Schizosaccharomyces pombe: one gene and its partner. Each later gene encodes a partner of the first gene's protein in a complex. Each region holds a gene or a part of one and is shown on either strand. Other genes may lie near its edges.

What was found. Proteins that work in one complex are often made in the same cells at the same time.
Region 2: spc24 (region 1) and mis12 share a complex: the UniProt entries of both Schizosaccharomyces pombe proteins name them as parts of the NMS super complex.

Annotation. Positions count from the first base shown.
Region 1 is NC_003423.3:2,753,614-2,757,369, forward strand, and holds the start of spc24 (protein Spc24), read left to right. Parts: upstream 1-1,812; 5' UTR 1,813-1,891; coding exon 1,892-2,045; exon of another isoform or gene 2,046-2,092; coding exon 2,093-2,428; exon of another isoform or gene 2,429-2,558; coding exon 2,559-2,665; 3' UTR 2,666-2,691; coding exon of another isoform or gene 2,692-3,756. Other genes in the region: transcription factor TFIIIC subunit Sfc3, read left to right, coding at 1-1,321; RNA polymerase I general transcription initiation factor subunit Rrn7, read right to left, coding at 2,692-3,756. UniProt on the Schizosaccharomyces pombe protein: Acts as a component of the NMS (Ndc80-MIND-Spc7) super complex which has a role in kinetochore function during late meiotic prophase and throughout the mitotic cell cycle.
Region 2 is NC_003423.3:1,137,845-1,141,600, forward strand, and holds the start of mis12 (MIS12/MIND complex Mis12), read right to left. Parts: upstream 1,775-3,756; 5' UTR 1,684-1,774; coding exon 904-1,683; 3' UTR 687-903; coding exon of another isoform or gene 524-686; 3' UTR 359-523; coding exon of another isoform or gene 273-358; 3' UTR 221-272; coding exon of another isoform or gene 212-220; 3' UTR 1-211. Other genes in the region: protein Swi5, read left to right, coding at 212-220, 273-358, 524-686; SCF ubiquitin ligase complex subunit Skp1, read left to right, coding at 2,304-2,352, 2,406-2,453, 2,528-2,895, 2,941-2,961. UniProt on the Schizosaccharomyces pombe protein: Acts as a component of the NMS (Ndc80-MIND-Spc7) super complex which has a role in kinetochore function during late meiotic prophase and throughout the mitotic cell cycle.

The DNA of each region.
Region 1 (3,756 bases):
TAGAGCGGTTGTTATTACTCAAATTTATTATGGTGGGACCAACAGATTAATCAAATGGGAGGCTGTACAGAAATGCTTTCCTAACCGGGACATATATGCTCTTACTAGAAGATATTTATCCATTAGACAACATACAAAATTTAAAGGCTTGCAACAGTTTTTATCAGAAAATTGGCAGCAAATGTACAAAGATGCTGTCTCAAGAAAAGATTTAATGCCATATCCTGATTCTGTTGATGATTTTGATCCTACCCCATATGTTAAGGCGTCTTGTAGACCTTATATGATTAGTTCTTCAAATCTTGCTACTACTAGGTTACCGAGAGACCTCGTTGACGTTTATGAAACTTACAATATAGAGGTTGTTAAACAAGAAACTAATTTCCGGGAAATGATATTTGATCCTTCCCTGTCAGTTGCCTCGAAAATGAATGCGTATTGTGATATGCCTTTTACCATGCCGCTTTCCTTAAATGACAAACAAAATAATGAAGGGGATGAGAATTGTGAGAAAGGTCAGTTGTTTGATGCGAAGTCTACTATCAAGAGCATCGTTGCCATCCCAGACGCTACATATGATGCTCGGTTTTCGCAAGAACGTCTTATGCAGTATCCAGAAGATATTCTCATCGCTGCTCATCAAGAATTATTGGATAAGAGAATAATTACTAGAGTTAATTCAGAAAACAGTAGATTGCAGCCTGGTCGAAACTTCCAGTTTACGGAGAAATTTGCAAGTTCCCTCAAGTCTCCTTTACCTCCATTTTTATTGTCACAAGCCAAGCGATTTAATAAATTTTTATTGGAGGGTTTTCAAAATCATAAGAATCATTTATTTGAAGAAACATCTAACAGTGGAACTCTCGCATGTATCCTTGATTTATTATCTCAAGGAAAGTTGCAAATATCTATAGTCGGAAGCAAGTTTAATGAGTATGGTCTATCTGAAGGCTATCGTACTCGTTTGCTAGAACATGACAATATCAATGTAACTCTTGTTCTCAGCGGCAAAGAAAGTGAATCTAAAAAAAATTATGGTGTTACTGAAAAGTTGGCAACTCCACCTTCGCATGAGCCACGGCTATGGTTAAATGGTAAATGCGAGCTTATTGAGATGATATGGATGAATATCGAGCAGTCCATTGTATACCAACTGCTTCGAAAACCCGGAATCTTGAGATCCCAACTGACTAACTTACTATTTCCCGGATTAGAACCCCGTGAGTTTAACGAAGTACTTGATTACTTTATAGCAGCAGGTGCCGCTATTGAAAAGGATGGCTTATATCTAAACCATAATTATCTCTTTAAATTAACTTAGCCTTTTAAATGTCACCATGATGAGATGATGCAAGCTGAGTATTTTCTTTCAATAGGCTTGTCGATTTGGAACATTTATATTACAAGCAACGATTTAATGTTTATTTGTACAGTATTTAGGATTCATTTTTAAATTATCTAAAAGATACCACGCTGTGTCTGCTTCTAATCTATAATTAATTATATTAGCGTGTTTTGAATTAATCTGATTTCGCGTTTTCTTCCATCTAAACTTTATATCGTATAAAAATCAAAAAGGTTTCATCGACTGTTTTGCTGAAAAGGTGAAGAAAACTTGAATCGAGGTTATCTCTTTTCTTTCTGTTTTATGTACATAACTTTAGCTCCTATAGAAAAAAGAAAAAACCTGCATCATGTAGATTTGTTTAACTAATTTACGTATGCATATATATATATATATATATATATTAGTAGAGTAAGGTTGATTTTCTAACCATACTTTATTTACGGTAGCATCATTCGTACCTTTTCGTACGTTACGACCACGTTGAAAGTTTTCAAAGAAATTACTTTTTAAACACAAAAGAACATAAATAAAAGAGAAGTAAATATGTCAGACAGTCCAATTGAACTTATGCGGTCCACGCTTGCTGGTTTTCAAATTGCACCAGATGTGAAAACCATCTCAAACATTCAAGACATTCGCGCACAGATACAGAGCTTCAGAGAAAAAGAATTGGAAGGATCTCAAACCAAATTTAAAGGTTAGTTTTAATCTAGAAATAAACGACCATGCATTAACTGTGAATAGTGCTTTCAAGAAAATTAGAAATATCTACCCAGGCTATGGAGTCATTAAAACAAACAGCAGAGTCATCACAACACGCTGAGGAGATTTTAAGCAGGGAAAAGGAGAAATTTAGGATAGCCAAGTTGTTGAATATCACTGAGAACGAAATTATGAGTTTAGAATCTCAATTGCAGAAAATGAAGGAACAGCTACTACAACTTGAGGAACGCGAAAATACTTCTGAAGACATATGTCAGTCAGAGGAAAATGCGAATATGTTAAAGCTGAACTTTTATCATTCTTTAGGCTTCGATTTAGAAACTGCTGAGAACACTGGGAATAAAAGGGTTATAATACGTATGTCATTTGCTCATAATTTGAATTTACCTTTCAATTTTTTATCTTTAAAAAGCTTGATGATATGAAAAATTCAAGCTTTAAAATTGAACTTTAAAACTGTTTTTCGAATCTACTCACACTTTCCTAGATACCGAAAACGATTTGCAAACGGTACAAATCAGCAACAAGTATAGCCCATATTTTTATTCTAATTATTTTTGGGATTTGCTTGATGATAGTAAGGACAAAAAATAGATGGCACTATTATTTTATTTATTTATTTAATCTTGATTGTGTATACCGGTTTTTAAACATGACTCAACATAACGAATGGCCGCTATAAGAGAATCCAATTTGATATTATACAATTTGGCTACCATGATAGTAACCCGATGAGCTGTATTTTCTGTATTAGGTGAAAAAGGAAGCATTGATATATAAGCATCCTTTCGTCGTGAAAAGTCCATTTTATCAGACTCTTTAATGCCTACAGGTTTGAACACTTGTTCTAACTTTACATCTTCAGCAATGACGGATTCGTCGGTGAGTATATCTGTAGGTTGATTTTCTTGTAAATGGCTGTCTTTCGAAAGAATCGGAAATACGTTAAGAATTCCTTCTGGAATATTATTTGGGTTGTTTTCTTCGACAAACTCTTTTTCATACCATTGAAAATATTTATCCATTTCAGAGTTATTGAGCGTCAAAATGGATTGCTCGTCTATCTCGTAGAACTTGTCTTTTTCTTTCTCATTAATTTTTTGCACTTGGGATAACCACATGTTCCAGTTGGTTTTAACAGTGAACATCGAGTCTTTGTATTTGGAATTTCGAGTTTGGGCATCATCAAACCCATAACATACATTTGCTGCTACTAAGATGGTAGCGAGTAACATAACCTCCGCATCAGATAACTTTTCATGTATCGATTGAGCACTGCGTATTTTGCTTTGATAATTATCGCTAGAGGTACCTTGAAGTGAAATCTGCGAGTGAACGAGATTTAGTAAACGAGAAGCAGGTATGAAGATTTCTAAGGGAAAAAAGAAACTGTTAATAAGCTCAAAAAGTATCAATGGCTCATTAGGTGGAGGAACTTTTAGTTCGTATTTAGATACTAAAACGTCAACCAATGTCAAGACAGCGGATTGTATGCGTTGATACGTTGGATAATGAAAAGGAATTAGCATCCTTACATAGTTTTTTTGAAGCCTTTTAAATATTTTTAGAGGTATCTGTTTATACGCTCTATAATATGGAATAATATTTTTCCTTATTAAAACTTCGAGTTTATGAATGGTCAGAGGCAGTCTTAGTAAAAGACAGGCGACATAAATAAAGGCAGA
Region 2 (3,756 bases), 1.6 Mb from region 1:
AGCCATTGTTCGTGATTCAACAATTTACTTGTCTTTCATCACTAATCTAAATTCTCTCTTACAAGAACAATAGACATTGTTTTCAATTGAACAAATCGGTAGGCTCCTGCCTTCCTCAACAACTTAATTTCTACTAGGTGTTCAAAAACAGATACCTTCCTAGTAAATTTCACACATCATTGCTTCATTAAGAAAGAACTGTTTAAATCGTATGGAAAAGGTAAGCCAACGGTACCATTGTTCATTCACAAAATACTGATGAATTACTGCAGTCTCAACTTGAGTCACGCGTCCATTTGCTTGAACAGCAGAAGGAGCAATTGGAAAGTAGTTTACAAGACGCTTTAGCTAAGCTAAAGTAAGTGTGGTAAAGTGATGCTAGAAATGGTAGAAAATATGAGTTATGCGCCTTTACGCGCGTTCAGGTTCATTTTGGGAAAAGCAATGTATTGCCGTTCCATCAAATCTATTCAAGTCATCATCAAGCTTGTCTCGTTTTATCTAATGTTGACAAATGATTTAGAAATCGAGATGCTAAGCAAACTGTACAAAAACATATCGATCTACTCCATACCTATAATGAAATACGGGATATTGCTTTGGGAATGATTGGCAAAGTGGCAGAGCATGAAAAATGTACAAGTGTCGAATTGTTTGACAGATTTGGAGTTAATGGGTCAGAATAATTATTATCCATTCAGTTATTTAGGAAAAAAGAGAAGTTAAACAAAACAAATAAAAATGTAACGGAAAAAGTGACAGAGACAATCCAAGTTTTCTTTATTAAGCATTACTTTGCTTTCGCTAGAGATCCAACGCCAATTCTTATATATTTATTATGAAAGTTTACGTAAACGATCACAATTGTTAGAACATCTCAAGACTTTAGCTAGTTGATTAGTATTAAGGCTCGTCAGTATGTCCGACGTCTTTTTCAGATGACAATAGCAACTTATGAATGTTATTTGCAGTTTCAGTATTGGCTGTCGATTCTAGTTTTGACAAGTGATGTGACCAAAAATCCTTTTGCTGGTCGATGGGATTAGATAATCGTTCGTAACCTTTTTCTAAGTAGGTAATTCTTTCATCCACCTCTCGTGAGTGTACAGTGGGAGAGGCTTCAACTACTCTTTTAACGGCATGCTGCAGATTACCAAGTTGATCAAGAAGGAAATCGGTAGTTTCTGGTAAAGTAACTTGCCAATTTTCGGGTACTTTGTTGAGAAAAGAAATTCTTTCCAAATGCTTTTCTATTTCTGTTTTTTTTTCTCTTTTCCTGCTGAGACGCATGCGAAGGTCACGACGTAGTTGCATCTTTACTACGAGTTTTTCTGCAGCCTCTTGAATTGCTTGATCCATGGCGGCGTCTTGCTCTGTTGTGATTGAATAGTCTACATCCTTTCCAAACGTACGCATGTAGCCTTTTAGCTCTGGTGGATAACTAAAAATGTTTCGAAGTGTATACACCTCGAAACCATCATAGTAACGATCCACCACACTTTCAAAGAGAACCTCGAACTTGTGTAGTCCTTCTTCTATTTCCTGTGGCGCTTTTTTAGCAAACCGCGTTTGTGAAAAGGCTTTATCCACACCATTTACACCTTTATATAACAGTTGGTTCGTAATGTTGATCACATCATCAATGAAGGAGAGAGGAGTGAATTCTAGTAACTCCACTAACATTTTTTAATTAATTCCTTTACATTGAAAACACTGATTAGCTTCCAAAGAGGAAACTAGTGAGTTATGATTTTTAAACGGCAAGTTGTTCTGCAATGTACCAACCCCATGTTGCATTTTGTCTGGTGTACTCAGATATGATAATAACGAGGTAAAAGGGATTTCCGTATATCCCATCAAAAAGTATGAATAATACATAGATTTGTTGCTGTTTTTATTGCTGTGAGGAACATATAACTCAGGCGATTAACAGTTTAGTCGGTTTATTTTGTTAGTTGCTTAGAAGTGTGGCTTTTGATTTGTGCTTGGTAAATCATTACTAGAGTTTCTATATCCTCAACTAAGCTCTAGTGGAGGAATACACTAATATTAACTATATTCGAATTATACATTAATAGTACGGACTCATCTTAAACCTCAATTTCTATGCTTTCTTTTATTATTCTTCAGTAGCCTTTTTTAGCTATCACGGTGGGATCGTTCTGCTATGCAATTTGATTTAATGAGGGTTAGCACCTTTTCCCAATATCGAATTAGTGAGTTCTGCCACTGTAGGAATATCAGCATAACTAGAAATGCTAACAGCTTAACTTTCATTCATCCATTACTTACATACATCAACAATGTCCAAAATCAAACTGATTTCATCTGACAATGAAGAGTTCGTGGTCGGTATGTAGAACGGAGAATGTTTTGAATTGAGTGAATTGACAAACTGTTTATAGATCAACTGATCGCTGAGAGAAGTATGCTTATAAAAAATATGCTTGAAGGTATGATCTATACAAGCGCTTGTTGAGTGCAATAATTATTATGGACCCTGTTACTAAAATCTCAATTTCAATAGACGTTGGTGAGATTAATGTCCCCATTCCTCTTCCAAACGTATCATCGAACGTTTTGCGAAAGGTACTCGAATGGTGTGAGCATCACAAAAACGATTTGTATTCAGGAACTGAGGAGGAAAGTGACATTAGATTAAAAAAGTCTACCGATATTGATGAATGGGATCGTAAGTTTATGGCCGTAGACCAGGAAATGTTGTTCGAGATAGTTTTGGCAAGCAATTATTTGGATATTAAACCTTTGCTTGATACTGGTTGTAAAACCGTTGCCAACATGATTCGTGGCAAGAGTCCTGAGGACATTCGGAAAACATTTAACATCCCTAATGATTTTACGCCTGAGGAGGAAGAGCAAATCCGTAAAGAAAATGTACGTTCCTTGGTACTTTATTAACTTAATTCTAACCGCTTGCAGGAATGGGCCGAAGACAGATAGTTTGTGGCTTTTTGTGTATAAAGTTTTTTGTCCTTGGATCATTAAGTGTAGTTTTCAGTGTAAAATGGGAATCTTCCCATCCACCTCATCATGCGCCTTTTTTTTTTTATAAAAAAAAAATTGATATAAAGTATACTGATGATTTTTTACTACTGAAGTTTTCACGATGCGTGCGATCACTTGATACTTGACGTACCAACACTGGTCGTATTAAGTCGCAGCAAATCAATTTCATTATCGCATATATACAAATGTACATTGATGAACATATTTTATCCCAACAAAGCACATTTCGTTATCTTTTACTGTTGTTTTAAGTACGTATGTGAATTACGATTTAGAAAGTTGAACTTACTATCCCGAATTGCTTAAAGCTTGCTTTTGTCTTGTTACAAAATAGGGATGTTCATCAATAAGATTATCTTTACTCTTCCATTCAATATGGTGAACGATTGGAGCTAATAGTCCTATGTAGTTTGCATTAGCGGTTTACTATAACAAAAAAAAAAAAAAAGAAGTGTTGTAATATAATAGCGCTAAACAATGAATTGTTAAAAAAATCCGATTCTTTTCTTAAAAATAGTGACAGCAGCTATGTAAAATGCGAATCGTAATAATATCAAGCTTCCAAATTAACAATTAATGATTGCGTGAATTTAGTTTACATTCATATTAATTACAAATTTTGTATAGAACAATAGAATTTTTGAACTCGTTACAATTAGCAAATAAATAAAATTAGATAATTAGTCAACGGTTTTCATCCCTTCAATATAGCTTGATAATATTTGTGAA